Oreochromis niloticus: one gene and its partners. The protein of the gene in region 2 interacts with the protein of the main gene of each other region in a pairwise test. Links are inferred from orthologs where the notes say so. Each region holds a gene or a part of one and is shown on either strand. Other genes may lie near its edges. The genes, in order: mpped1, disc1, exoc7 and xrn2.

The links.
Region 1: the proteins of disc1 (region 2) and mpped1 interact in a two-hybrid assay, tested with the Homo sapiens proteins (2 studies listed by BioGRID and IntAct). The link is inferred for Oreochromis niloticus from reciprocal best matches to the Homo sapiens genes DISC1 and MPPED1.
Region 3: the proteins of disc1 (region 2) and exoc7 interact in a two-hybrid assay, tested with the Homo sapiens proteins (2 studies listed by BioGRID and IntAct). The link is inferred for Oreochromis niloticus from reciprocal best matches to the Homo sapiens genes DISC1 and EXOC7.
Region 4: the proteins of disc1 (region 2) and xrn2 interact in binary tests that used the Homo sapiens proteins (3 or more experiments, as listed by UniProt). The link is inferred for Oreochromis niloticus from reciprocal best matches to the Homo sapiens genes DISC1 and XRN2.

Annotation. Positions count from the first base shown.
Region 1 is NC_031981.2:37,162,421-37,170,198, forward strand, and holds the start of mpped1 (metallophosphoesterase domain-containing protein 1), read right to left. Parts: upstream 3,023-7,778; 5' UTR 2,807-3,022; intron 1-2,806. UniProt on the Homo sapiens protein: May have metallophosphoesterase activity (in vitro).
Region 2 is NC_031978.2:23,847,613-23,854,863, reverse strand, and holds the start of disc1 (disrupted in schizophrenia 1 protein), read right to left. Parts: upstream 3,005-7,251; 5' UTR 2,963-3,004; coding exon 2,854-2,962; intron 743-2,853; coding exon 1-742. UniProt on the Homo sapiens protein: Involved in the regulation of multiple aspects of embryonic and adult neurogenesis. Required for neural progenitor proliferation in the ventrical/subventrical zone during embryonic brain development and in the adult dentate gyrus of the hippocampus.
Region 3 is NC_031973.2:3,946,464-3,953,756, forward strand, and holds the start of exoc7 (exocyst complex component 7), read right to left. Parts: upstream 3,008-7,293; 5' UTR 2,838-3,007; coding exon 2,778-2,837; intron 2,613-2,777; coding exon 2,547-2,612; intron 2,242-2,546; coding exon 2,057-2,241; intron 1,978-2,056; coding exon 1,872-1,977; intron 1,328-1,871; coding exon 1,105-1,327; intron 861-1,104; coding exon 693-860; intron 368-692; coding exon 356-367; intron 1-355. Other genes in the region: tvp23b (Golgi apparatus membrane protein TVP23 homolog B), read right to left, coding at 4,573-4,599, 4,692-4,820, 5,657-5,782, 5,949-6,038. UniProt on the Homo sapiens protein: Component of the exocyst complex involved in the docking of exocytic vesicles with fusion sites on the plasma membrane.
Region 4 is NC_031980.2:23,317,450-23,325,183, forward strand, and holds the start of xrn2 (5'-3' exoribonuclease 2), read right to left. Parts: upstream 3,005-7,734; 5' UTR 2,850-3,004; coding exon 2,775-2,849; intron 1,756-2,774; coding exon 1,628-1,755; intron 1,379-1,627; coding exon 1,267-1,378; intron 1,123-1,266; coding exon 1,011-1,122; intron 123-1,010; coding exon 64-122; intron 1-63. UniProt on the Homo sapiens protein: Possesses 5'->3' exoribonuclease activity. May promote the termination of transcription by RNA polymerase II.

The DNA of each region.
Region 1 (7,778 bases), on a different chromosome or scaffold from region 2:
CACAACTCTGTGATGTTGGTGCGATCAGCAGGTCAGTAATCTCTGAAATTTAGGGTGGTTTCTGAAAGCTGAAAGAAAACTATATCTGACACGTAGCTTAACAAATTCATTTTGTTTTTCATTTAAATATGAAAGTGTGTTCCCACCTTGTCCATGTAGTGAAAGAAGCATCTGTACCTACACTGGAAATGTTGGACCACAGTGGGTTCGTACGTGCTCCGTTGAATGCACAATCGCAGTAGTTAAGGCCATTCACACTGAAATTAAAAGAGTATGTAAGGCGCTGAAATGGTGGGCGCCTGCTGGTATCAGTGTGACAAGTAATTGAGCGATGCTATGACAGAGACGGGACTGTACAGCTCTGGAAAGCTATCATAGGGAAAGAAGACGTTGTCTTTTACCCAGACACTTTTCCAATTACAAAGTAATTTACCAGGAAGGTGAGCTTACATACCCCTATTTGCATTCGGTGGGCCTTCCTAGATGACATGCTCTGCTGCATGAAAACCTCAAAGTTTTTTGCTTAGTGTTTTTTTAAACAGGACTTTTGGTTTCATTAAATGAATAAAATGGCTGAGTTTGTTCACACAGCGCTAAATTCAATCTGAGCGCAGGCTTAAACATTTACATGCCAGTGCAGACAGCCGTATTGATTAAAATTAATGTACATCTGTTCCATCAGACATCCGCGAGACTGACAACATGTTGGAGACAACTTCTGTGTGGACAGCCTGTTTGTCTCTGAAAACGTTTCTCGTAGCGCCTCGTCCTTTGTTATTTTAAAGTGAGTGTTTTCTTTCTGCCAACGGTAAATCCTCTTTTACTGCATTTTACCAGCTCCCAGCAACATTTAACTTATGTGTGAAAAATGTGGACGTCTGATCTGATGGAAACATGCTAACATCAACATACAAGCATATTTAAGAAAGCAGGAAAGCAATAAAAGCAGTCTTCACTCCACTGTTGCAATATTGTTCTGTTTTTAGCCTGAATTTGTGTCCCTGTTTTTACAGGTGTACAGAAAACTATCAGTGGATTACTGTCACATTAAAAAATAATGGGTGCCGTTTTTCCATGATTTGTAATTGTGTACATTTGTGTTTTCTTTTGCTTCATTGTGCTGAATTTTAACAGACTAGCTCCTGTAAATTTCACAGAGATCATATCCACCGGCTCTTTCTGTAATGTCAAATTCTAAATCTTGTTTAAAATATTCCAAAAGAAAAGCTGTAAATGAATTTCATGAATTCATAAAAAAAATTTCTGAGTCTAAATTGATTTGCTTATGCGTACTTTACCTCAGCAGCATGACCCCAAAATGTGTCTGTGGTTTAAAGTGTACTGAACTTCATGTGAGTGTAACGCTGTTTTTCAGCACACACTGCAGAGACGAAACTGGTCACATAGTCTAACAAAGGAACTCCTGTACTCTGTAAGATGGGGGATCAAGACTTCTGCACACTCGAGCCCACACAATCTGTTTTACACGTTCACAAGTTTTCACTCACAGACTCTGTCCAGACAGAAAAAAACATTTCCTCCAGCCAAAATTCATTAGCTCATGATTTTTGTGTTCTCTGCAAAAGTGCCTTTAGATCATTTGAGTTATGACAGCCTCGTCTGATTAAAAATGAGGGTCAAGACTTCTGGTGACAAGACTAATACTGTCGTGCAGTGAAGATCACAGTTTATAGGAATAATTAAGATGCAACGAATTGATGAGTTGAGTGTGAAAATAGATACAAGCGTTATTTACTGTTTTTTCTGGCTTGATTTGTTTGTCATTGTTTGAATTTATAACAGAATTACAACGCTTTTATTATCTGCACTATTTGGTAGTTGGAGAAGAGAAGAGAAGAGAAGAGAAGAGAAGAGAAGAGAAGCCCTGCAGCGCTCACACAGATCCATCAGTGTTCAGTAGTGTAAGTGGAGCGGCTGATAAATGCAGAAACGTCTGATTGATGCGCTCTCCTCGTGGGGACATTGTCATATTTAACAGCGACCGTCACATTAGACCGTGTGCTGCTTATTCGGCCGTTTCCTGCTACGTATGGACACACAGAGAAAATTAAAGTGCATCTGAGTGTGTCGCTGAATTACAGTTATCTGTTTTACGCATAGCCTGGAGATAGTGTTGGTCTGATTTGGAGTCACGGCTCTGTGAAATTTGGTGAAAGAAATTTCCTATCCAAGGCTGAAAAATACAAGAGAATAACATCCACAAAGATTTCTGTGCCAATTAACTTCTTTTAATGTGACGTTTTTCACCTTTAATTCGCTCCTGCTCACTTTGTCTCAGCAAAGCGTTTTGCAGGCAGAAACTTTAATTAGAAATCAGCTGAAAAGTTCAAAGTGCGTCTGTGATTATCGCCCTCATGCGCGTTTTGCAGAGGTGCCCGTGCACTCACACCGAGTAACTGACTTCTAATGAAACTTTTCCACAGGCTGCACCAGCTGTCTCCCTCTCACACGTGGAGCCTGGAAGCACCGCTATCAGCCTTCTTTTCAGTCTTGACTGCCCTTTGGATGCGGTGCTGTGGTGAAGTATGAACGACCATAAAAGCGTTCCGGTGAGCTCCGCTGGAAAACGCGACATCTGGGGACGTAAATGAACGCCTTTTGTATATATGAATTTAGGAGGAAAAAAAAGCTCCCTGCAACCGCGAAGCCAAGCGAGAGGAAAGGTTGGCATCAGGGCTGAGATTAATCCGAGAATATGCCGCGGTATGCGGGTTCGGGGCAAATCTCTGCTCCGCTGTGTCATGCATTGAAAACAGAGCTGTAAAATAAAGAGGAGTCTACCTACCAGCTTCAGCCGCAGTGAGGCTGCTCAGTGTTGGATGGTGTGGAGAGAAGAGTGTCTGCGCTGCCACAGAGACGCGCTGGTCAGTTTGAATGCGTACCCCGTGGTGCACCGGCACAGCGTCGTAGGGAGAGCCTCTCTCTCTCTCTCTGCCTCTCTCTCTCGTCCTCTCAGTCCGGCCCACTGTGTTTCACCGGTGAGCGGTACAATGAGGAGGAGCAGAGGAAGGAGGGAGGGAGGACCGAGAGCAGCTGCGTGCGGCACCACTGGGCTCATTCCCGGTCAGAAAACCCGAGGAAGCAGTTCGGTGCAGTTTTACTTATACATGACGAAACCACAACAACAGTTGCCTCAACGCACTTTATATTGAAAAGCAAAGACCCTACAATAATACAATAATATGGGCGTTTGTCTACACTTGGAACACACGGGCCGTGTCCATCCACCATTTGACGGTGTCCTGGAGTTTTGGATCAGTCACACGCGATGCTCATGACGTTGTCTGTATCTTACAGAGCTGCTTCAAGTTTCCGTTTTACGCAAAGAAAATAACGACCTCAGGATTAATGTTTAGATGGACAATGAACATGTCAGATATGAAACATTTCTATCAGAAAACCACTAAAGAAGATCACAAACAGCCACACATATACTTACAACAATACAAGCTGCTCTTTATAATTTCAGAAACCTACCGCAGCTCTGTGACATTTACAGAAAAAAATATAAAATGTTCTCTCTGTGCGATTCTATGCAGTGTTAGCCCTCAGATGGATTAGCAGCCTGTCTAGGGTGAACCCTCCCCTCACCCAATGAAAGCTGTGAAAGGCTTTACCCCCATCTGACCCTAACTTGAATAAGCAGTTAAGAAAATAGAAATCGAGGATAAATACTACAAAAACTGTCAAACAGAACAAAGTTAATTGTCAAGTTTTGGGGTTTGGATTCTTGTTTATTATACAAGCCAACATGTGTGAAACAAGCGCGACGGTAAAATAATCTGTGTGAAACCACAAGTGGACACACAACCTCAGTCTGAACATGTCCGATTTCACTTTCTATCAAATGCTGTGGTTTGCTTTAAAGAAGGAAAAACACATGTATTGAACACTCGCGTGCCTCTGTGCCAGCGCATCCTGGCATTTTATTTCTTCAGCTGAACAGTTGGAACTACTTTATAGAAGTCGGGGATTGTAAGTAAACATAGTGAAGTACTGCAATAAAGCACAGATCGGAGCTACTTGCACTTTAGGCCTTTGCATACAACTTTCTGCTTCTACTCCACATTTCAGAAGAGAAGAAACTTTCACTGTCTGACGCTGTTTAGTTACTGGCTACTTTATAAACTGGGATTTTTATACATAAAAAATAGATTATACAAATATAGCTGAAATATCAATTAAGCGATCAATTGACCATAATGCTAACTGATAGATCATTTAAAACTTGTGGAAACACTTCTCACTATTTCTCTTATTATTTACAAACCAAATGAAAATAATCATTAGTGCTAGTTGAGTACAACTGGCACTAATGATTATTACTGGATGAAAAAACTGGGTGATAAAAATGAGCTCCACCTCTATCGATGAATACTAATAATCCAGTAATAGAATTTATGCTCCATTTATTATTGTCCTTTCAGAAATTCTATTTGTTTTGGTGGCAATTGCCAGATAAATACAACTACAGCAAAGAAGGAATCAACAAAGTCCTTCATAATAACAGCAACAACCCATTTCAATAGCATCAAAGCAATACAAGAAACATCAGTTATATCAGAAAAAGCTCTATGGCCACAGAGAGTTCACCCCATGTTATCCTGTACCTCTGTGCAGACTGCATCCATTCAAATTTACAAAAGAGAGGCTGTGACACATCGCGTTGTTGTACTGTGTCGTCGATGACCTGCAATCTCTCTGGATATATTTATCATCTTATTAAGTGTGTTCTTATTAAATACAGATAAAAAGATCCCAGGGAATAGAGAAACAAAAGAAAAAAAATGTCACCATCTCACTTTCTCCAGTTTTTGATACATACATATGTTAACATACATATGTTGACATGGGATGCAGTATGCCCTTAAAAAATTGAGGAAATGAAACAAGTGGAAGGTAAAACAAGAAGATGCACGCCTAAAAGACTATCTACAGCAGATGAATATCTGAAAGAGGACCTGAGAGATGCATCTGACCCTTCGGTTGATGCAGTCTCATCACAAATGCGTTCAGGTGAAGGGTGGCTATCAAGAAGCCATTCTGAAGGAACTGAAAGACGGCGGGACGGCTGATGTGTGCCAAATTACACAAGACCTGGACTGAAAATCAGTGGCAACAGCTGCCACAGAGTGTTAATCCAAATGTGAAATTTGAAAACACAATGGAGGTTCTGTCATGCTTTGGGGCTGCATTTCAGCCACTGCTGTTGGGCATTTTAGTCAAAATTGACAAAACTGTCATATCAAAATGTTACAAATGTTGCAATTCTAACATAATATTGCAATTTATAATGCTTTAATGAGAGCTGCACTGAGTCATTTATCCACTGATTAAAAATATAAACAATGTCGGCATGATCTAATATTAAAATAAATGTACATATTGTACCCACGAGCAGGATTAGGGGTAACTATATCGCTGCCACTGCTCGCAGCTATTCAACAAACACAAGATGTATTTTCTTCAAAACCACAGATGTTTTTAGTGAGTGTCCTTTTCTCCATGTGTGGCTTTCAGCACATGTGATGCTCAGATTGTCACCGTAGAATCCCGCCCCTTCTCACCCCTTTTCACTCACCATGTGTTTATACACCTCTCTGCATTTAATTATGAGTTATTATCATTCTCTGGCTCCCTTCCACAGCACGTCTTTTGTCTTGTGTCTCTCCACTCACCCCCAGCCGGTCACGGCAGATGGCTGCACATCGTTGAGCCTGGTTCGGCTGGAGATTTCTTCCTGTTAAAAGGAAGTTTTTTCTTCCCACTGTCACCAAAGTGCTTGCTCACAGGGGGTCATATGATTGTTGGGGCTTTCGCTGTATTATAGGATCTTTACCTTACAATATGAAGTGTCTTTAGGCGACTGTTGTTGTGATTTGGTACTATATAAATAAAACTGAATAGATGTTTGAGCCCTGATCCAAAAGGTAACTTCAACCAGAGCACTGTAGACACTTAAAACAGACTTCCAGTGATGCAGAATAAATGAGCAATATTTGTATGTTCATAGTTTTTAATGAGGAAGGAGGATTCAGTATCAGACACAAATGATTTTTCAACCATGCTTGAAAGCTGCCTTTAAAGGAATCTGCAGCCAAATGTGTTTGAAGAACTTCAAGCAGTGACAATTACACACTCTGCCCTGTGCTGTGGTAGTTTGTTAGAAAAGAAATTAAAAGAAATGCTGTACAATAAATGTTAGAATCAGAAGATAATTCATGCAAAAGGAGCTGACAGCAGTGTGGTGGCCCTGATCCCTTTGGCCCATGACTATGGCAGCGTGCCTTGCAGCAATAAAATGCATCTTTGTAGCAGATTTCTGTAGGTAACGTGTTTCACTTCCTTCAACCTGTGACCTGTTTCCTTGTTCATTACAATGTATGTTATTAATATATAAAGCAAAGCAAGCAAAGGCCTGTAAAATCTTCAACATTTCTGCTGAAAGGAGAACTTCATCATTTATTGGCTGTGTAAGGGATAATCAGTCAAATTACAGCATTACAGCACATCACCACCTCTGCTCCTGTTTATCCTCAGGTAATTGGACTGGGATTTAGGCCAGTAATGAGCTGAACAAACAGAGCACAATCCGGAACTCAAATATGTGCCCACAGTGGAAGCTTCCAGAGGAACAGGCTGAAGTGAGTGCACCATCTGGTGGTCACTTCACTGAGAGACAAAGCAAGTACAAAAAATTCAGTTGAATAAAAAACACCCTCTCACACCTGACCAACAAAATTACCGTTACTCAGAATAACGTCTGTTTTGGGCTTTTGTATCCTGTTGTGATCCCTCTTGATCTCTTGCGTGCATCCTTTGACGATGACATAGCTTCCTCCTCGAGAGTGTTGAACACAAATCTTTAGTGGTATACAGCAAAATTACAAAAAGCAAAATGTGTTGTTTTCTAAGTAGTAATGGACTTCAGTACTGTTCACACACAAGAAGCTTCTCAGATTCTCAGCTTCTCAAGAAACCTAAAGAAGTCCAGACGCTGTTCTTCCCAAGCGCCTCAGACTACGATGACCTGGATGACTGAGAACCTTCACAGACATACGTCACACTCAGTTCTTTCAATACTGCGGTAAAATCACCAAATTGCAGATGAGACACTTGATTTCTGGCTGATTTTGCTGAAGTGGAAAGCATGAAGTGGTTCAAATTCTTACAGTGTTGGCTGCATATATATTAAAAGTTCAGTATCTGGTTTATTCAGTATGCACTATATTATGCACATAATGGGAAAATAAACAGAATAAAGTTGCATTTTTGCAGATACCTTCTAATGGTCACATTTTCCTAAGCCTATCAGTCCATGTTCTGTCTTTATCACTTCATAGCCAGTGAACTTTCAGAAGAGCAAATGAATGAGGAAGGCAGACAAGACAGCGAAGGGAGAGTAATCTTAGCATCTGGCACAGTCGCATTTGCCTGCAGATGCTGGCAGCTGATTGGACGTCCTGGAAAGATCATGTAGGAAATATCAGATCTGCCTGTCAAATATGATTAATTACTAACAGCAGAGAAGCTCAGCAGTTACAGTAATATTATAAACAGGCAGTGAACTCAAACATTAAAGTAGACTGCTGCTGCCAGTCAGGTACAGGCCAGTAAAATTGGGAATATATTAACAATTAAATCACATATAATAGATTTGATATAATTACAAATGATTGTTCTTAAAATGGAAGAAACTGAAGACAAAAAATACATCACCACTGATTTATCACGAGGGTGTCATACGACTGAAAGAG
Region 2 (7,251 bases):
GAGGTACTGTCCGAGTCCAGGGAGAGTGAGGAGGTGACCTCTATATCAACAGACTGGGCCTCACAGTCGGGCACGTGGGATCTTTCTACGTGGGCGGCAAACAGGCATTCTCGCCAAAACTTTCCTCCAGGTAGTGTTTGAGCAGGAGACGACTGCTTAGGGAAATTGTGCTCGACAGGTAAGGTTTCAGGTTTTGTCTGAGGCAGGTCAGATGCTTTTGTTGATGAACTTAGTTCTTGTTCTTGTGTGGGTGTGGCGGTTGTTTTCTGGCTGGAGGTAAGTGACTGTTGGATGAAACTGAAGCTGGAGTTAAAAGAGTCCTCTGGCTCTGAATGAGTGTCCAGGCTCGAACTTAACCTGAGTTCATTGTGGGGCAGTGAGGACTGGCCCAGATGGCTGGATGTACTCTTAGAATTGCAGTTCACAGGGGAAGGAGGGTGGGTAACAGAGCAGACAAAGCTCTGAGTCTTCCAGGAGCTACACGTGTGTTTATCAGGCTGTTGATGATTTATTAAAGACACACTGTCTGCAGCAGCTGGACTTGGCCTTTGAGCATTAGTTGCATCATCTATATCAGCGTCACATCCTGATTTTCCATTGGTAATAAAAGTGGCTGTCCCAACATCCTCCTCCTCTTCCTGAGTGGCGCTCTGCAGTCTGCACTGCTCTCCTCTCATGTACCCTGGTCTTCGGTGGAGCCTCTTACGGCTGGAGCTGCCAGCTGTCCCTGATGCTCTGCCACCTGTCGATGCAGAGATTAACCATTAAGCTTGACAACATGGCCATGAGGAAGATAACGCATGACCTCATAGAACTGGTAGGATTAACCATGTAATCATCAGCTACAGCAGGAAGATGTAATGCTACATGTGCTAATTACACAAGTACCCGAAGCAGCTGTGATCCAGCAAAATGACCTTGTTCTTTAAAGATAGTGCCTAATGGACTGAATTAAAAAAGTTGGGCAGATGTGTGACATTTCCCAGGGTTCTGCTCCAGCTGTTGGGAAATACCAAAGCTGCACAGTCATTTATAAGTTAAGACATTCCTCTCTGTGGGATACCAGATGCATGAACAATATATTCTGAGGTTAGATTTGCATTTTTTTATTTTTGCAAATAGCAAAATTCTTCAGAGGGCAGGTTCTCAAAGCATAGCAGGGGGCTCACACCTGGATCTGGAGCCTTAAATCGGTCTATTTCACTGAAATATAGGGCAAAGGGCACACAGGCAATGTCTGATTCATGTTGGTCCACTAACAAACCGGCACTGATGATGCTATTGTTTTTATAACCATTCAGCTTCTCTCTTTTTCTTAAAGCAATAAGGCTGATAGAGTTTAACTGAGATCTATTTCTGACGGGGTGCTAAAACCTGTGAGTCTTCCAGCCAAAGCAATGAACTGAAGGATGTGGAAAACACCTTTGTTTAAAACAATACTGATTAGCCTCGCTTTATCAAACCCACTTGGACTGCACTCACAGAAGAGGTGGCTTGTCTCAAAACTTTTCAGTTATTACGAAATCCATGTTTTTTGTAAAGGGGGCGTAACCGAAATAGCTTGTGAAGCACAGACACTGCCAATCTTAGTATCAAGAAGTGATACAAACATGCATGCAAACAGCGTTTGGTCTGAAAGTGGAGCGTAATGATAAAGACCAGATTGTGATGGGAGTCAGACACCTGCTGCAGGGCCACGTGATTAATACATATCATGTTTAGGATTCAGACGAGGAGGCGCGCTCAAACGCTGGGGATCAACAGCCCCTTTGTGTACAGCTGCGCTGCTCCTTCTTTCACTTCTGGCTCTTGCTTTCTCCTCCCACTCACGAACACTGAAGTCACACAGAGGCACACTGACAGTGCTGAAAACACTGGGATCAGTTGTACTATTGTCAGTGTAAAAGCCTGTTAAACGCTTTAACTACGATAAAAACAAATCCAAAAGTAGAAAACGCAAACAAACACATAAAAACAACATCTTACACAACTGTAAACCTCTACAAATAATGTGTTTTTTGCAGTGGGAGCACAATTATCAAGACAGGAATGCGGGGCATTGAACAAAGCATGACCGATGAGCAAACCACAGCCCACTTCCCAACACCCAGTAACCTCGACGATGCCACTCCTAAACTATCCCATGAGACTGTAAGAGACTCAAATAGAGACCAGTGATAGCAGTATTTCAAGTGAGAGTAACACAGGGATGCTCCCATTGTAGACACAGTGTTTTTCTGTTTGTGCGTGTGTGTGTGTGCCACTTAGAGCTTTCTGTCCACTGGGACCGAAGCTTGGGTTACACACAGGTCCATTAGAGGGTCCTTGCAGACGTGGCCACTGGTCCATAACTGATGTAAGAAACCCAACACTATCTGTGGGTTACAGCTACAACCGCACACTGTCTACCATCTGGTGTGGCTAGATGTTATACTAAGCCTTCTATCAAGAACTAAGCAGTCAAAAGAAGAGGGACGTTACTGTATCCTCGCCATACTTCGATTACACAAAGAGAGCTCTTCCCGGTTTAAGGGGAAGGAAATGCCTCGGGGCCTATTGTTTTGTGTCTGCTGGCTTGTGTGTGTGTCAGAGGGGCATCTATTTTTTGGCTGAACCCCCTCAGAGGTATTTTCTACTTCCTGTCGGGCTTTGAGCTAAAATAGTTCGCCAGGAATTCAGGCAGAAAATACAAACAAGCAAGCAGTGACGTTCTGTGGTTCAACACCAAAGATAAAACAGTCCCTCTGCCACAATGACAGCATTCTCACTGTAGCATGTTATCAGTGCTGAAGAAACTGTGCAGAGAGCCTGAGAAAAAGAAGCATGTCAGCCAGAAGAGGCGAGATTATTTACCTTTGGAGATTAAAGAGGCCCTCCTCAGCACCCTTAGGTTAAACACTGCATCCAGTTGGGCACTGAAAGTGCTTGAGCCAAAGACAGAGAGGAATGCAGGGGATCTCATAAAAACACAAACATTTGAGGAACAAGCTCAGCACCCTCTGACACACACACACACACACAACACACACACACACAAGCGGATCTGCATGTCAGCAACCTCCTGAGAAGCAGCACTGCTCGGCAGATGTGCGAAACCTCGCCACTTGTGACCAAACAGAGCGTCACAAAAAGGGGAAGTGAAAGTTAGCAGTGATATCTATTCATCTTACTAAAGAAATGACTACATAAGTGGATGAAAACCCAACAATACAGTATGCTCCAATGCCAAGTCCTATCTTTGGTCCTAAATCTTGGCCCTTATCTCTCCATTTTGCACGGTAGGTTAAAGGGTGGGGATATTCCAAGGATTGCGTCTCTGCTATGCTCTTGTCAGACTGTAATCACATGAGGATCAGTTGAGTCTGTGTTATAGAGATTCATTTACACACTGCACGTACTCTTTAATAGACATTTTGATATTTTTTGTAGATTAGATTCATTCAAAAATGTCACACAACAGAAACCAGAGACCAGGGAAAAATCTACTCACAGCAGAAGCTGTTTCGAAAGCACTTTGGGAAATAGATTTTTATCTAAGGTTTGCCACATCTAGCAGCCTTTTAACTGCAGCAGTTACCCTGTTGCATGTAGCGAGATCATAACAGTCTGATAAATGGGTCTAATGGAGGTCTGATTACCGGCATCCTGCATGAACAGACTTGGATCACATTTCTATTTATTAGTTAAGCCCATTTTATTTGTGTAAAACATGTTAAAAGACCCAAATAGAGACAATATCCAGGAAAATGCTTCTCTACTTTGTCTAAAGAGGTGAGGAACATATTATTTAAGTATTTAATCATTTCCAACTCATCATCTATCATTACTCATCCAAGAGTGACTGGTAGGGAGACTTTAAACCTTTATGATCCAGGGAACTGTGAACTTTCATACACATTCCGGGCAATGCATTATTAAACAGGCTATGAGTCTTCACTGCGGCTGTTCTGCTTTTGTTTAATCATCTGATGATTATCCCTCCCTAAAAACTGCCGGCTTAGTACATCCTAATATTACTATTTTATCCAATTTCGGTGTATTAAAGTTGTATGTAGTTCCTGGGGGGTATATATATCCTGTAAAAGACCAGTGTTAGTGTGAGAACATCAGCTGATAGTTAAAAATCTTGTGTTTTACCTTGAATGGCTTCGCGGCGGTGAAGTAGAGAGTTGCTGTGGCATTCCAGTCCCATCAGTCCAGCGAACATTTTTCCATTAAAAAAAAGGCTGTTTGTGTTGAAAAGTCAAAGAAAGTCAGACCCCGGTGGCACAAGCCTGCATAGAGTTACATCGACCATGTTTTAGAAGAAGTGGAGCCAGGCAAAGGGACTGATCTCATTTCCGTTATGGAAAAGTGAACCCGGGCTGCTATATTTTCACTGCACACAGTGAGTGACGGGTGAAAACGGCTTCCCAGCGCGCTGTTTTGTCCCTGATGAAAATTTCTTGACACAAACATTTATGGTACATCAGATTCTTACATTTCTCCCCCCTGTTGGAAAAAAGTGGGTCCCGCTGCGCCTGAACTGACGGTCTGGAGAAAGAAGATGGACTTCACGTCGTGCTGTTCCTTGTGGGAAAAGTATGGAAAACACAACCAGCGGTGGTGTGCAGTGGCAGAAGTACAGAGCCCAGGCAAATCTGTCTGTTAGTCGACACATCGATCAGTTGATCAGTAATCCGTTAGTCGCTGCGCCCTTGCGTCATGCGTCGCGTTGGAGCTCTTACGTGTTCAGGAATTTGACTCCAGACTCCTTCAGACCGCCTCATAACCACAGCGGGCACACTGTGGAAGTAGCAGCGGACACGGAACCGGATTAAACAACGCTGTTGTTTATCTTTATGTTTATATGTGCTGTATTTTAGTGTCACTGAAGATTGTGGAGGAAATTTATGGGGGGAAAAAACACCTCTCTACTATTAAGTCACAAATACTATTAAGTTCAAATTTATACACACAGGAAGCGTGTGATTCAGTCATTTAAATCACAGTATAGCAGGTCTTTACTCCCTTACACATCTTAATGTGTTTCTTTCTTTCGGCAGTGAGCACCAAACCCTAGACCTCACATAGCGCAGTCTTTTCATCCACCCCTTCACACACCACTCATCCCAGTTCTCCTTTCATTCAGCTCGCCTGGCTCATGAACAATACTCAGAGACAAAAAGCTCTGTTCTACAGACAGAATGCAGGACTTACACGCAGCTAGGGTAAGAGCAGGGATGAAACACGTCGCCTGGCATGCAGAGTGCCATCACCTGCTCTCTGTTAAAGATTAGAGGCCCTTAATGCATTTTTGACATCAGCGCACTGCCCCACAGGCTGGCTGGTTTCCAGGAGAAGCCCTTTGACTAACCTCTCAAGTTTTAGTTTTTGGCTTACCTCTGTGCCACTGCATCTAAAAGGACAGGGCACATTTGTGATGACTTGTTTTAAGACATAAGAAACACCATATTATGTGAAAAACCCAGAAAGAAGATGCTAAAATTACACACGGTGTCTATGAGGGAGCAGATGAAACGTATAAAAATGATGTAATCACATCTGTTCTATGTATGAGGGCATTTATGAAATAATTAAGCAGTCAGGAAAAGAGTGATTGCAAGGATAAAAGATGAATTAATCAAAGGATAAACACGTAGTTGTTGACTAATAGCACATTAGTTCCTGCTCTGTTAGGTTTAGCTTGCTCTTTCCCTTCATCAGCTATGCATTCAATGCATCCATCAAATGCATTTTTACAGTGCCGTAGCTGTGTTGCTGACTTTGACCAGCAGATGTCAGACTTCACACAGATATAATATATTAGTTTATCAACTACAATAAGTTAAGAAGCAACTTTTTTTCTTTACATTTCCCAAAAGTGTGTGTACACGTTTTTACTTTTACATCAAACCTTTACACGTTTACATCCAACTTTGATTTCATACATAACCACAACCATATGCTACGTGTTTCCTGATTTAGTCGTATTCACAAAATATTCATTTGATGCATCATATAAATAGATTTTATGTCACTGTATACACAAATATATAGTATCACATTTAAATAGTCTAATTGTGGATTTCACAGCATTCTTTTCTCCTAATAAAAAAGCCCATGCCAGTTTTTTGACTTTCTCCTTTATATGGAACCAGGAAGTTTTTAAGCATGACCACGAGAGTAGTCATTTGATCCCAGCCAAAGGTCTGAATCATTGTAAGTTTTATAGCACTTACTGACAAAGATGTTAAGAGTGGTTTCTGGTCTGCCATAGTCCAGATAGTAGACTTACAGCAAATCTCTGGATTAGAGTTGTTCCAGGATTTATTTATTCATTTGTTTATTTATATAAATGGGGCGCTAAAGTCCGAACAACCATTTTAGGTTAAAAAAAAAATAACTTAAAAAATTCAGTGCGTTGCACTGATTATAATGTGCACAGGCCTCCTATGTAATAACTACATACAGTAGGAGACGTAGTTGCCTGTTGCACAAATTAGGAGGAGACGTAGTAACCCAGTAATAATATAATAGCTGGACTTAAGCACAAGATGGAACCACTGTGATATATTATAGTTATAGTTGTACAAAGTAAAGCAGTTAGGAATAGTAAGTAGCGGACTGAGGTTCATACAAATACCCATGCAGTCAAACATTCACTGCATGTAGTATTATTTATATTTAGATAGTTATATATTCACAGTGAAGCAGAGGACCTTTATTTCTACAGGAAAATGGGGAGTTAGGCCCCCTTATCATCGCCTGCTATAATTTCCGGTCCCACCTTTAACCCCCTCTTTAACCTCTGGCTGCTGATCATCTCCTTTGTAAATGGATGGCTTGGCTTTGGAGTGTAAAAGGAGGCCAAAACTTTATTTTCTCTCTACATGTATCTGTTTGCATACATAGTTCTGAAATTGCCCAGCAGATGGCAGACCTAAATTATTTGGACTCTCTCTATTACAGTCATAAAAAGGGACAAACTTATACCACATCAAAATGATCTAGTTCATATCAATACAAAATAGTTACTTAATTACAAATAGCCTAAATTGTTTTTACAAAATATAATTTGTCATAGTTTTGTTTTTTTCTAATATATGCGAGATCAAAATGTGATATGTATACAGACCTAAAGGTGACTAATGTGAATCATAAAATAACATTTCCTCTGAGGTGAAATCTGGCAATAAAATTGTTTTGGCCCCATCGTGAATAAAGGCATCTATTTTCAACGACAGACTATGCTATCATTATTTTCTTAGC
Region 3 (7,293 bases), on a different chromosome or scaffold from region 2:
TACACATCATTTTATAGAGCTAGTCTCAATCATAAATAATAATTTGTATTCTATGCAATTATAAATTATTCATTTCTAGTAAAATTGTAAAGAAATTTCATCAACTTTTGTTTATCGGCGGTTTGGTGGCAACCTCCACCTTACTCATCCCATCACCGAAACGCTCTGCCGTGAAACTAGAGGTTAAAATCTCCACTGGATCACCTACTACACCATCAACAGGACAAATAAACCTCTGCTGTCTCAGCTGCTAATAAAACGACGCAAACCCTCATGCTGTCTCTGATTTGCCGTGAAATGTGGCATCTGACGGACAGAAGCAAGCACGAGGCACACGCTAGAGCTTTGTGTTTACCTGGGATGTAGACTGTCATCACAACACAGGGATTATGAAAGAGGAGAGGATGAAGGATTAGTTAGAGCAGGGTGTAATATCACAGAGAAACACAGTGTGTGGTAGAAGTGCGCTACAGCTCGGTGAACTGAGTGATTACAGAGAGGTTGTGGAGGATAACCTGAGACAGAAACAGACTGTGGATGTAGTGACGAGTGTATTTAATATCCGTCACTATGCAGGATCATGCGTGTTTGTTAGGCTGATCTATGGAAGACGGGATTGGACAGCGAGTTGATTACAGACTGAAGTGGCGTGATTGTGGATTCGGTCTGAATGAGGCACATCTGTTGCTGACCTGGTCTCTTCGGGGCCTTTTTAGTTGGCGTGTCCTTGCGCTTGGTTTGGACGGCAGGCGAGTAGAGGACACCGGAGGAGGCGCTGTTCTTGCGGAAATGCTCCTTGAGGCCTTTGATGGAGCGATCGAGCTGGTTGGACCGGATCTGGAAGTAGACGTTCATGAAGTCTGCAGGAAGAGGAGAGCAAAATTAGACACAATCTTTCCAGTTTCTCTACACCGCCTGCACATTTCAAAGCCAATTTAATCATTTACATCATCCCAGCTCTGGTGGTAAGATGATTTTTAGATTGTAAGGTAGAGGACCTCCAATATTAGAGAGAAAAGCCCAACGATCAGATGATTTTTGCAAATGTGGTAAAGAACTTCCTTTAAATAGGAAGAGACCTCCAACAAACAAACACAGCCGTACCCTGATTACGTCCGTATTCCACCAGCCAGCCGGCGATGCAGATGATGTCCTGGAGCACGGCCTCGGGCAGGTGTTCCAGCACCACCTCCTCCTGGACCTCCAGCTCCTCATCCACGCTGATGGCGTCCAGGATGAGGATGGGGGGAACGGGTTTGCTGTAGCGGGTCAGGAGGCTGCGGAATTCGCCCTCCAGCAGCTCCTTCCCCTTTTCAAAGCGTGCTTTCTGCAGAAGAAGATACGGTCATGAAATTAGTGACTACGACTCGGAACGGCACAGAGACTGAAGCAGACGTCTGCAGTGAGGAAAAAGTGCATGAAATTTACACATAAATGAATGTAGGAATAACAGCACGATTCACACAGAGAGCTATGCTGTGTATAATGTTGTTCAGTCAGTAAATACGGGGAACTGTTGGCTTCATGTGCCTCAGATAGCTTTTTATCTTTCAGACACAGGTGGCTAAAAAAAATATTTTCACCGTAGTACTGTGAGAACCACGACACACCATACACACATTGTATTTATCAGAGGCTCGTTTTATGTATTTTGCTAGAAAAACACAAGAGCACAGAAAGCAGGACAACATTAAGATTCTGGTACAGTCTTCCCAACATCCTCACCTCAATCCTATTATTTTCCCACCCTGGGAAAATAACATTTCAAAGAAATTAATAAAAGCCCAAACTTTCCAGGACATTCACACCTATGATGAGTGGATTGTAAAATTTTTACCACAACTGTAATTTCAGAGAGGCAGATATTTTACCACTGTGTTGAGCTCAGGGCTGTCTGGGTTGTTGTCTTGAAAGTATTCGACAGCTTTCTGAATTCTTGCAATGCAAGCAAGATACTCGTCCAGTCTGCCTGTAGGTCTGAGACAAAAAAGAAAATTAGTATACATGTCGGAGTTTGTGTAACCACAAAACATTTGCATACGAAGGTCATCCCCACCCCTCTCTGATGATCCTGTCCGTGTCTTTGGCCACATGGTAGTAGCTGATGACGTGATCCATGCAGGACAGAGTTTTGTCCACGTTCTCCTGCAGCCGTTGCAGGTTTTCCGTCTGCTTGTGAACCGGGATGATGGAGTTCTCCAGCTGCATCAGGCGGCTCTCGAATGAAGACAGGATGGAGACCTTTTGGGAAAGAAATACAGGTGAAAAACCAGTTGGGCTATAAAAGCAGCTTTAATATAGCGCCTTAAATAATGAGTCCCAGCTGAAGTGGGGTGAAAGCTGAAAAATGACACCACAGGCTGCTTTCATCGACTCACTAAATCTATAGAAACTATAAGTAGATATTTCAATCCAAGTACAAGAATAATAATTATTTTTAATAATGGGTCAAAGTACTGTCGAATGGAGATCAGTCCGCCGCCTTTAATTATGAGAATTATGAGTGTCAGCCTGAGCTGTCCCTGGGTGTGTTTGGACCGTCCTACCATGTTTTTGGTCAGCTGATCGCTCTTTTCCAGGTTCTCCCGGATGAACGACAGCGTCTCCTGCTCCTGTAACAGCAGAAAGAAAACCAACCACTCGCTCATTTCACTCTGAAGACATTAAAGACACTCCTTCGGTCAATAAGCATCATTTTAAACTCGGGTATTGAGCCACATTGGTGGGTTGTAGCTCGAAGGGAAGCTTCCTTCCTCTCAAGCCTCCAGCTGTCTGACCTGCTTCAGTTTCTCCTCGATCTCCCGCTTCCTGGCGGACGCATCCTCCGTAGGAATCATCCTGGAGGAAATTTAAAGCAAAGGAGTCTCTTCTGCGGCTAAAACGTGACTAAGTTGCCGATTTAGATAATAAAAACAACAACGACACCCCTGAGCCGCTGTCATGGATAGCTAAAAGCGGTGAGGTTAAGCTAGTTTGGTTAGCCGTAACAGGGCAAGGGTTTCCGGTTAGAATTTCAAAATAAAACAGCCATCGGCACTAAATTGAACAGTGAAAAAAATGCTCATCGGTTTTCCCCCCAATCAGTTTGTACTAAATCAGGATTACGTTTAAGTTTATTTAATATCTTATTCTAACTGCAAATGAAAGTAAACACACAATTCTTCTTCAGTTGTCTTTTATTATGGAGCACAGTCATTTTTTTGGGTATAGTCTTCAACTAAAATTGTGAAGCCTTTGTCCCACCCACCTAAAAAGCTTTAGAAATGAATGCATTTACTGTTTGTATGACAATAAAAATGAACAGAGTAAAGCAGTATGAGGTGTACATCCCACAAAAGTGTTAATTTTCTTTTTACATTTTGTAAATTTTTATATCCTTTAATATAAGATTTTTGTCCCCCCATTTATCACAATTGTTGCCCTTTTTGCTAGATAATGTGAGTCACCTTTATTATGGAGGTCAAATACACCGACTTCCGGTAAGGGGTGTTTATCCCGGATATCTTTTTTAAAAACTTTATTTACAAAAGACAAACACAGGTAGTTGTCTAAGAATGTAAATCAGAAGATTTTTAAGTTTAAAGAAAACTTTTCAACACTGACATTTTGTCATTGAGGCACTTTTACACAAACGCCTAAATATTTATGTTATTTGTGAACTGTAATCAAGAGTTCTCAAAGTTTTTGAGAAAAAAAATGTTTGCAATTACATGCAATGACGAGAACCAACAACTAGAGGTCGCTGTTGCACTCAGTACTAAACACATTAAAAGCATGAGAACACAGTCATAACTAATTAGATACATGAATAACAAACCGTGGAATTAGCAGACTAAATGTTTAAACTCAGTTCATTAAGTAATATTTTTATTTTTGAGTCTATAAATTTCTGAAATTAAACAAAAACCTGGAACAGTGTTGGTTAATGGAAACAAATCTTATTTATATTTATTCCTTTTTCTTGAATCTCTTACGGGATTCTTTTTATTCAACACTTTTCTTTTCTTAGAGGCTCCCGCATTATAAAAAGTTGGAACTAATCAGACTCTCCACATAAATAAACACGAGCACCCAGTTCGGAAAAACGTTACAAATGTATTTGCACAAAAGATGACTCTTCACACAGTTTGTTCACTTACATATTTACAAATCTCCTGTTACACTTTACACACTTTCATACAAACCAAAATGTCTGTATGACATCTCTCAAAGGTTCTTTAATTACTGTTAATTTATAAAGTTATTAGAGGCAAACTAACTAAAAGAAGAAATCTGAAGGAGCTGTGAGACTATGACACAAACTACAGTCACTCCGACGCGTCAGCTGTTTTACACTCATGCAGTTCTCGGTAATCAGAGGATTTATTGCTGGACCTCAGGTAGTGAAAACCCACCTCTGACCTCTGTGTGGAAGATAAAGACAACTCTACTGAGTCATTTAAAGAAAGCACACAATCAAAAACTGCCCTTTTTCTGAGAATGCTTTCCTGCCCGTGTCCACTGAGAAAAAGAAGGTTTATATATCAGAGCATTGAGAATAATGCAGATGTGTTAACGCCGCAGAGCTGCACTCTACGATTCCTCTTCCTTAGACAGCGTCTGAGGAGGAAAAACACAAAAGACTTCTTAGAAACAGGACAAATACTTTTAAATTAAAAGACTTTTTATTGTGTGTTTTATTTAAAACTCACCTGTTTGAGGAACTGTCGTCCGAAATAATTGGTAGCCATGTTCTTTAAGCTGGTCTTCCCTCCCACTTTGCACCTCACGTATCCGTACAGGTTGGCGCCTTGCAGCACAACGCCCATGATCACGACGGGCTGTGAGAAAGAAGAAAATTTTTCTGAAATAAACCCTGGTCATATTTCATATTCCCCTTATTAAATCCCACGAAAAGGCTAAAGGTGAACCTCTTCACTGCCATCAGTGTCTAATAGTGTCTGTTTCTATCATGATTCCTTGTTAAGATTTTGATCTTTGTTTTCATTTTTTAAAAGTTACGACTTCTAACCTTACTGGGACCTTACTGCATCAGGTCATGTGCACCTCAAACGAGCATATAGCCTCCTGGGAAAACACTGGGTGCATGTCCGACACATCATCTCATAAAGCTTCAAATCACATTGTGAGCATTTCAGACATGGAGCATTCAGGCTGAAGGAGTCCACTGTGTTCCTGTGTCTGACTCCCAAACAACAATCTCGAGGGATAAAACCTGTAGTTTAAAACTGCCCTCTACAGACAGTTTCTTCTTTCTTAGGTGATGTTTTAGGTAACGTAGCTGCTAACCATCTGCTAGCCTAAACAAAAACACTGAGGCTTCAAACTGTGAAACCCAAAACCACAGGACGGCTATGCCCATCTTTTATATACAGTTTACATGCAAATAAAAGTCCCCCCTCATGCAGCAGGAAAACTTTGAAAGCAAGCTTGAGATGCAGGGTGAGAGCAAGAAAACACTGGCACACGTTTACCAAGTAATTATTGTCTAATTTTACTTAAGAAAGCACCAAGAACTAATAGGGTTCAGTGGGCTTAGAGCTGAGAGACACAGCCAGGAATGCTAGGTAAGACAGTGCTGTGAGAAAAATTTAATTGGATTTGTTGATAATAAGAAAAACAGCACTTGTCCAGTCACTTAAATCTAACAACTTACCATCCATTTAATCCTGAATGAAAACAGGGTGCTAAAGACAAAGATGACCCAGAGGATGGGGCAAACAATCAGTCCGAGCCAGAATATTCTGGACTCTGAATCTGATGCTTGCTGCTTCCCTGTACCCTGAAGAAGACGGAAACATATCTCAGTTAGGACATGCGAACATGATAAGGCCTACTGACTGTAAACATCTGGGCGGTGCAACCCGATACAGAGCAAGAGGTCAAGGTCACGTTTAGCTAAAGCTCCAAGTCAGAGCCAGAGCAGATTCAGCAGAGATGCATCTCACCTTCCTCGACTCAAACACCCAGTGGCTTCGTCCATCGTCATCAACCTGATTCCACCACCGCAGACCAACCATCAACCTCCCAGTGATGTTCTGCAGATGGAGAGATTTATGGCTTCATTATGGAGACTCTGGCAAATCTTATTCACATGGTGCTGGATCCGAACACTGTTTCCTAGGTTTAATTATTTAGTCTTTGTGTAACAGTGTGACTCTGGAAACTGAGTCCAGTTCCACATCTGCCTTACAGAGTGCAACCAGAGATATTATCCAAGGAGATTCTACAGGAGATTTAGGAAAGCCTTAAAGAAAAAAAAAAATGGCACTCAATGAGCCAATCGATCGCCCAAACAGAAAAAACATTAACCCTGTACATGTACGCACTAAAGGGTCACAACAGCTTCAGCTGTGTGGTAAAAGGCACCACGTACCTGATAGTGCAGTAAAGATGTCACGATGTCAGATCTTTTATCAGATCTAACTGCTGATTTTCTACGTGCAGTTTTTCTTTTCCAGTAAAAGCTAAAATGCTGCTTTCAGCTGTTGCTTTGCCCCAAGGCGTCACCACAGCGAGTAGCTCAGCATGCTTGATTTGGCAGTTTCCCACCATGTGATTTCCATTCAACCCCAAAAAGGATTTGCATCTCCAGCTGGAATCGTACCAGCAACCTGCCAAGTGAGTTTGCTAACCACTCCACCAGTGACCACTGAAATTAATCCCATAGCTCTCGTTCATTTCTGTTGATAAGGGATTCAAATTGATTCCAAGATGGCAGTTTTGTTGTGAGATTTGCTTTTAGAAGGACCAGTTTATGTGGACTTGTTGTTCACTACCATGAGGCTATTTAAACTGATTCAACATGAACATCACCAGCACACAATAACAGTGCCACAAGAACCAGTGAACGACAAACATCCAGAAACCAGATGTTTTTAAATCTCACTGTAGGCAGTGAAGCTACAGTGATTAAATAAAGAGCACGTTACAAATGTCAGGCTGGCCTGTAAACTCTGCTTCACTTCATCATGATTATGACTGGATGTTTGCAGTACCGGCTGTTGCATATCCCGTCTCCAAGGCTCCGAACTGTCTGTCAATAAACACGACGGTTGGATCTATGACCAAACTTTTCACCATGTTTTTCTCACGACTGCTCATCATCTCATCCCAGCACCGACAATTCATTCAAAACTAATAATATATAACCCAAAGGTGAAAACAGTTGGCAAGCTTTTAGGACGACTTCCAATCTTGCTTTTAAGCTCCTGATTAATTTTTTTTATCTCATCTGGTCCACTCTTCCTCTGAGTTCTGGCTTTAAGAAATCCAAAAAAAAAAAGCAAAAAA
Region 4 (7,734 bases), on a different chromosome or scaffold from region 2:
GTAACTACGTTGTTACAAGTAAATAAACGTTAGGCAAGATTTCACTGGATGGAGTAAACTTACTGGGGTGATGCAGTTGCTGTCAAACCTTTCTTTAATCTCCTCCGGAGGAAGATAACCTCCTGTAGATGGAAAAAAAAAAAATCTTATTATACTGAGAAGAAACTAGAGGGCGGAGTTACCCCCATGTGGCTGTATTCCCTATCCAAGCTGGGCACAGAGAGAAAGAGAGGGGAAATAAAACTCTGCAGACTTTTACACTGAGCTGAAATTGATCAAATCGGGTTTAAAAAACAACAAACAAAAAAAAAAAAAAAACAGAACTGAGGAGGTTTCACAGTGAGGAAGCCGCCACACTATTTACCAAAATTTTTTTTTAAAAAGGAAAGCTCATCACACAGGATATCACTGCTCCACTACTGTCTGTATAGGGCAAATTTATATTTGCTGCATTATTAATGTTCATCTCAAAGACTGCCTAGAGAATCTTTAATTAAGGACTTCTGCTGCTTCAGGATCTGACTGCAGGACTGTGCTATGACAATCTGTCTCCACGTGTGCCCTGAGAGATGGACACAATTTTAAATATGAACTTCCTGTTTAAAAAAAAAAAGTCTACAGTCTACAGTGTCTACAGTGTTTAATCTTTCCCCTTTAATGCCTGAACTATGAAATAATTGGCAGAAGATTTTTTTTTTCAACTGGAGTGTTTAATAAATCTTCTCATAATTAAAAAAAATCAAACAATCAATTAATCAATTTGCATATGCAAGTTTAATTTTGATCATATTTGGTATATCTGCCATTTCTTTGCAATTTATTGTTTAAAAATCAGTTAATTTAGGTTTTTTGGGGAAAAAATACACACAGATGATGCACAGCCCTCAAAAACCTACAAAAACCCCATGCATCAAATTTGACGCATTTAACATTACAGCGTTTTGAATATGACATTAAAATATATTGCCCATATTTTCAGTCCAGCAGTCAAAGAGGCAAATAAAACACACCTTTCTGGATGACCTCCTCTCTCACGCGACTCTTCTCCTCCACCAACTCGACCCCTTCTTTGGAGGCACGAAACCGTCGAGAGCGCTGCTGGTTCATTTTGGCACGCGGAGCCTGGGCAGAGTTAACTTTAGTTTACATCAAAGCTACTGTCAGATTGGCGTAACACTGAAAACAAGTTTACTTCACTCACAGTAAAACTTGTAAATGCTCATCAGTGAAAAAAGCTGCACGTTTCTGTTAATGGCAGCAGCTTACCACTCCGTCGATGGCCATGTAGAGAACTCTCCTCGGCCGCACGATATTGAACAGGCGGTCAATGTACTCGAAGATGGCAACCATCATTTCGTCCTCGTTTTTGGGAGCCGGTCTGTGGAGGAAGAGACAAAGTGAAGACTTGGTATGGTTTAATTTATGAACTTTTATATATGTATAAATTTGTATAATTATATCAAATTTAAAAAAAGACTGTTTCAATTAAATTATTAATTTCCAAATAAATTACACTGGAAACAAAAACCTCACAGGGAGTATGTTTCTGTTATATCAGAAATGAACTGAGCTGTAAACACAGAAGATCGGTCTTTTATGTCCAGATTAAACTGAGAACGGTTCCTACTTGTCTTCTGGATGCGTGCAGGGGTGAATGATCCCATTCATGTCCAAGTACAAATTGTCAAATTCCACCTCATTGGGGTTTGGCTTTGTTGTATCAACAGGAATACGAACTCCATTACACTCCTTCCCCTGTTAACATGAAAGGAAACAAAAAAATAACCTTATTTGCAACAGAGCTGCAACTCTGGACAAAAATACATCCTCAGCTGTTGTGAGCTGCACTCACACAGAACCTAGCGACATTTCTACAGACATGCATGTCAGGTTACAGCACAGATGTCAGAAAGCTTTGTGATTACGTAGGATATGTATGCTGTAGACAGTTTTTTACTTTTGTACGCAATGTTTATGGCAAATAGCTCTTTGTGAATCAGCTTGTTAGTGCAAAAAATGCCTAGGATATATAACATTTATTTGCAGATTCAGCTAAAGTCATAGGAACAAATGATCTGTTTTTGTAACAGGCTGGAGTAACAAACAGCATACAGATACAATTCAAAATTGGATCTATGCTTAATTGTCCATTATGTGTAGAAAACTCTGCTCCATCCCTTGACTTAGGTTCCTTCTATGCGCGATTGCTTCAGAGTCTTAACGAAGAAAAATTGAAAATGTTCAGGTACAAGGACTGAATTGAAAACAAAGTGCAAAAGCAGCCAATGTCCAAAGATAAACCTTGAAAGACCTTCAGAAAACCTAGAGAACAGCTGCTCAAGAGCACTTTTAAAGAAACTCTGGCTTCCTGGCAACAAAACATAAAGAAACGAGGGGTGGCTCAACGCATTTCAACAGTACTGTTTAACAGCAGACCAGTAAAATAATTATAACTATTGTTAATTTTAACAATACAAAAACAACGAATCCAAACACTTCGTGTGTTTGTTGTCTCAGGTTAAAGTTCCGCGTGCGTTTCAAACATTCACACAGCAGCAGTTTTGTTTACAGTGTCACGTGTAAGTAAACACAGACTGCACGAACTTTGATTTATTTATCGTCTCCGCTCTCGCCAAAACATTTCACATTGCCGTAGTAATTTCACCCGCTGTGTGCAGCGATTAAAACGCAGTCAAATGGGCGAGAAGAGTATTAAAAAGCTTCCCGATAATGTTCCTCGGACAGGCTGCTAGCTTTCAAAGCTAACCACTCACCTTTTCCTCCACACAGTGCACAATAATTGATGGATATTTTCGGCTCAGCCAACGGAAAAACGCCGGAACTCCCATCTCCGGTAAACAGTCGTTTCTATTTCAACGGTTAAAATACGAACAAGTACGAAATGATTAAAACAGCTTAATTAAAACAAGATCGTAACTGTAGATGCGTTGGCTACATGCTGCTGGCCGTAGCCATTGTGTACCTTTTCCGGTTTATGTCGAATATTTCCGGAGCATTCTGAAGAGTCTCGCAACTCCACAGTGACCCCATGGGTCAGAGACGGTACTGCAGGCGTCCAACGGTCCTGATAATGGAAACAACTGATTCACCTGGATTATAAATTAATAAATTAAATATTTATTCCTGGACTATATTCACCACTTATGTAAGTGGAATATAATGTTGAAAACTGGGATCTATATTTCCTCCTTAATACTTTATTTTTGTTATTAGGGATATTAATATGCAGAGCTTCAGGTATTTTAAAATTAACATGAGTATAAATCAACTCCTGAACAATCTTTGCTTCCTGAGAAAGTCTCTGAAGCTTGTCAGCGATAAGTTTCTGTTGCCACACAGATCATAATTTTTTGCTGTTCTTTATCAGTCTATTTGTTATTATTATATTTCTATATTTATTTATTCACATGCTTTTTGTTTTGTTGTTCAAAATGTCTCATTTATTTATTTTTACAAAACAGTTGTAGGATGTTCTCAGTTAATTTATTGAATATTCAGGCAGAAAAGCATCAAAATTCTATAAAATTATTACTTTTTAATTTCATTTACATCAAATCAGTATAAGCCGTTGTTATTTCTTCTCATGTTTATCAGTTTGTTCTTTGTTATACTTTGTAAACTGTCTACACGTTCATATTTTCTAAAGTTCTCTAATGCAGTCAATGAATTAATAATTTACTTTAAAACTTTTAACACAGAGAAAATGACAAATAAGCAACTTTAAGAAACACATTTAATAATTTCTAATATTTCAAAATAAAACATTTAGTTTTGTTCAGTTATCTGTTTTATCTGTTAAATGTGTTTATTGTATTTTATATTGTGTATATTTCACAGCACAAATACATCATCAGATGTGCGATGTAAAATGTTAGAATGTTATTTGTCGTGCATTTGTATTAATGGCTGTGTTTATTTACGATTTGGAGATTAAATGAAATAAGACATGCTTTACTTGGTCATGCTGAAAATCTAACATTTTGTACAACAAATTTTAATAATGACATCCTATGTTTTTATTGATACCTTACAAGACACTGATAAGCTCTTATACGACAGAGTTTATGGATGGTTTAAGGATATCAATAAAAGCTTTTTAAATTTATATTTAAACATTTACTATCAATTTAAATATGTGTACCAACATAAAAATGAAGGAAAACCACAGCCACAAAATACATAACAAATATGACTCATATTTAATTTCTAATGTAAAGTTTAAGACACTGAGCAGACTTATATGTAAATTTATGCATTTTGATATTGCAAATACTACTCTAATATTATTGTCACATATTATGAATTTTAATTTTAATATTGTTATAAACATGTACTTTCACTGAGGGGTATGTGCACTGTCACTCACTGTTTTTGTTCATATAAAATATTACATAATAATAATAATAATAATAACTTCTATAGTTGAGTTTTCATGTTAAAAGTGGGGACTGAAATGTAAACAGTGCTGTGAAGAAACCACCAAAAGCCAACAGGTGTGTGAGAGGTGTGATCCTCGCAGACTCTCACTCGTGTCCATATTCCCTATAATTGCGCTGTGGTTGATCTTACATGATGTTCCTTTAATGGGGACTCTCTGAACAGATGCCCTCTCGCTTCCCAGCCCTGCAGCAGCACATTTAAGGTGAATTAGATTTTTTCTACCCTCCCTCCTCTCCTCACTGGTTCATGCAGCGGGGGAAAGGGGCCATTAGCCTCCCCTCTTCAGGCAGGGTGGGTCTGACATCAACACTGCAGTATTATTACTGCAAAGAGCCGCTGATGGAAAACACTTGGCCTGCTCCGACGAGCCATTTCCATAAACATTTACGCTGGAGCTGCAGGTAATAGGACGGAGGCGTCGTTTTAGTGTTTGTGGAGAGAAATAGAGAAGATAAAGTGAAATCTGATGCAAATGGCAGATGTGAAAGCGCACGGAGGTGAAGCTCGGGAGTATGACACAAGAATACATTCCGGCACCTGCACACGATGAGTTGCTGAATTCATGGACAAATGGTCGCTCGTTCTGGGCTTTGACTGATTTCCATAAAGTTGTTCTGCTGAGATAAAGTGGGAATTTTGGTTTATCAAAACAATCTCACAGCAGAAGTTTTAGTTTAAGCATTTCAGAAGTTAAAAAAATATGTTTCATTCGAAGAGCTGGAAAAAAAATGGAAACGTGAAGGTTCAGTCTTTATCTCATCTCTCTGTGAGCTGATTGTTCAGGGGATTCTCTGGATTGATATTCCACACGCATGCAGGCGACTGAAAGAGGAAGAGCGCCCTCACCTGGTGGATCATCGCCCGAGTTATCTGGATATCACATCTAGATGAAATTCGACTTGATCATGCAGAAAAACCTGTATGTGTCCATGGACAGTAAATTTAATCAAGCTATTTACACTACAGGTTCAACAGTAAAGATTCTATATCCCAATGCATGTTTAAAAAAGGGCATATGTAATTATTTTTTCCAATCTTTTCTTTTGGAGCTTCACAGTAGGGTTCAGCTTTACTTTGTCTTATTCCAGCTGTTCTAGAGGAACAGCTGCTGCTAAATCTCAGAGAGTCTGACAGAGGAGGTCTGGGACATGAAAACATAAAACGAACAGGCTGGAGAGATCACATGTCTCGGAACACCTCGATGGAGGCGGTGGCTGAGTAGAGGGAGGCCTGGACCTCTCAGTTTATACTGCTCCCCACACTACCTGGACTCCAATAAGCATCAGAAAGTGAACGGACAGATGACAGTGTTTCTTTTGCAGAAATCTCAATGCATAAAAATTGTTAATTGAAATAATTGTTCCTTGATGATTTCCAACACATAAATTCAACAACAGAAATTCTGTAAATGAATCCCAGTGCCTTGTAAAAACAAGGTAAAAAGTCCACGTATAATTATTTACCTTTGTTCAACATCTTTTTTTCTTTTCTACATCATATTAAAATTGGAAATTCTACTGTATAACTTATTCTACATCTCCAAATGCAGTCATTAAGAGCTATAAAACTGTACAGTCAAAACAGTGAATGAAATTAGCTTATTATAAGCCAAGAGTGCAGTTTGAAAAACTCCACTGAATATTCACAACTGTACTTCCACCTAATCAAAATGGTAAATAAGAGAGTAAACAACAAGGCAGTGGGAAATTATGTTATTGAACCACTTCTAAAAATCTCAGCTGCAACTAATTTAAGCAACAGAAACAAAGCAAAAACAGTCCTGCATCCGTTTTAGTCGTAGCTGTAAATAGCAGGTGTCTTCTGTGAATGAGCTATGCTCTGCAACCTGAGGCCAGATGGGTTTTTATGCATTGCTGTCACAGGAAGAGTGTAAGCTAGATTGCAGATGTCCCCTAAACGCGTCACATGAAGGCACTCATCAAGATACTGTTTTAAAGAGAGGCTATAAGCATCACTCTGTTTTAATATTCTCCATTACTGACTGCTTTGGAAATGTTAGAACCGAGGACACGATAAACTCGAGCAAAGTCCTACAGATCTCACTACCTGCTGTTTATGAGCAGGAGGAAGTGCAAAAGACCGGCGAAGATGTGACGAGCCAGACCGAACCCCTGCACAGAGAATTTGAACTGTTTGCTTCAGGCTGCAGATACAGAACATGAAGAGTAAAATGTGGCAGGACAAAAAAACTCCTTTATTTTCTATGCAATAGTGTTAAAAAAAAAAAAATCAATTTGTGATAGCTGTACCTTTTTTTAAATTATACTGATATTTACTGGAGGATTATATCTTATGAGTTTTTTGGATGTGGATTTAATTTTCTGTATTTGTTATGTATTGTTTTTTCTTCTTTTTATATTGTTGATGGATTTCATGAGAGCATATCTGCAAACCAAATTTCCCAGTACGGCCATTAAACTGACTGAACTGAACTGAGTGAAGTCATTCATCAGTGGGAACCAAAGACAAAAAATGTGTGAAATTAAATAAAACTTTGTGAGAACAAGTTTATGTCCGATTAATGAATGTTGGAAAAATACCAGTTTGGCAGTTCTCATCTGAGACAGTTTGAGCCTCATTCGGACAAATGTGTTTCTATTTAATTCAATTTTATTTCATTTATGTAGCACCAAATCACAACAACAGTGAACAAGTTACCGGTATTGTGATGTGGTGCAGATTATTGTAAGGTGAACATCATACAGTAATGCAAACAGTTGATCCCCTATGAGTAAGCACTTGGTGACAGTGAGAAGGAAAAACTCCCTTTTAACAGGAAGAAATCCCCACGAGAACCAGGCTCAGCGAGGGGCCACGACTGGCTGGGGGTGAGGGGAGAAAGTCAGGTCAAGAGACGCACTTTAACATGTGCAGGGAACGCGAGTACAAATCAAAGAGATGTTTGTGACAGAGAAACAAACTTTTAACAACAATTAGGAGAGAAAATCACAGTGGTCGGTAAATTTTGCATAAAAACAGCTGATGATTAAAAGTAGAATGTCCTTCAAAGAGCTACGTCTTACTTCTATAAGCTGAATACATTTCAGAGCCTGTACTTTTGTTTTATTTAGGTAAAGGAGTTGGAACAGTACTTCAGTGCTTCAGAGCTTTTCTAACACAAGTATCTGCAGCTGCACTCGAGTGAAGAACGTGTGTCCTTTTGCCAAACAAACACGTGTTTGTGTATGTGAATTTCACTTTCATTCTTTAACTTTTGATTATGACATTACATTATTATATTATAATGCTACA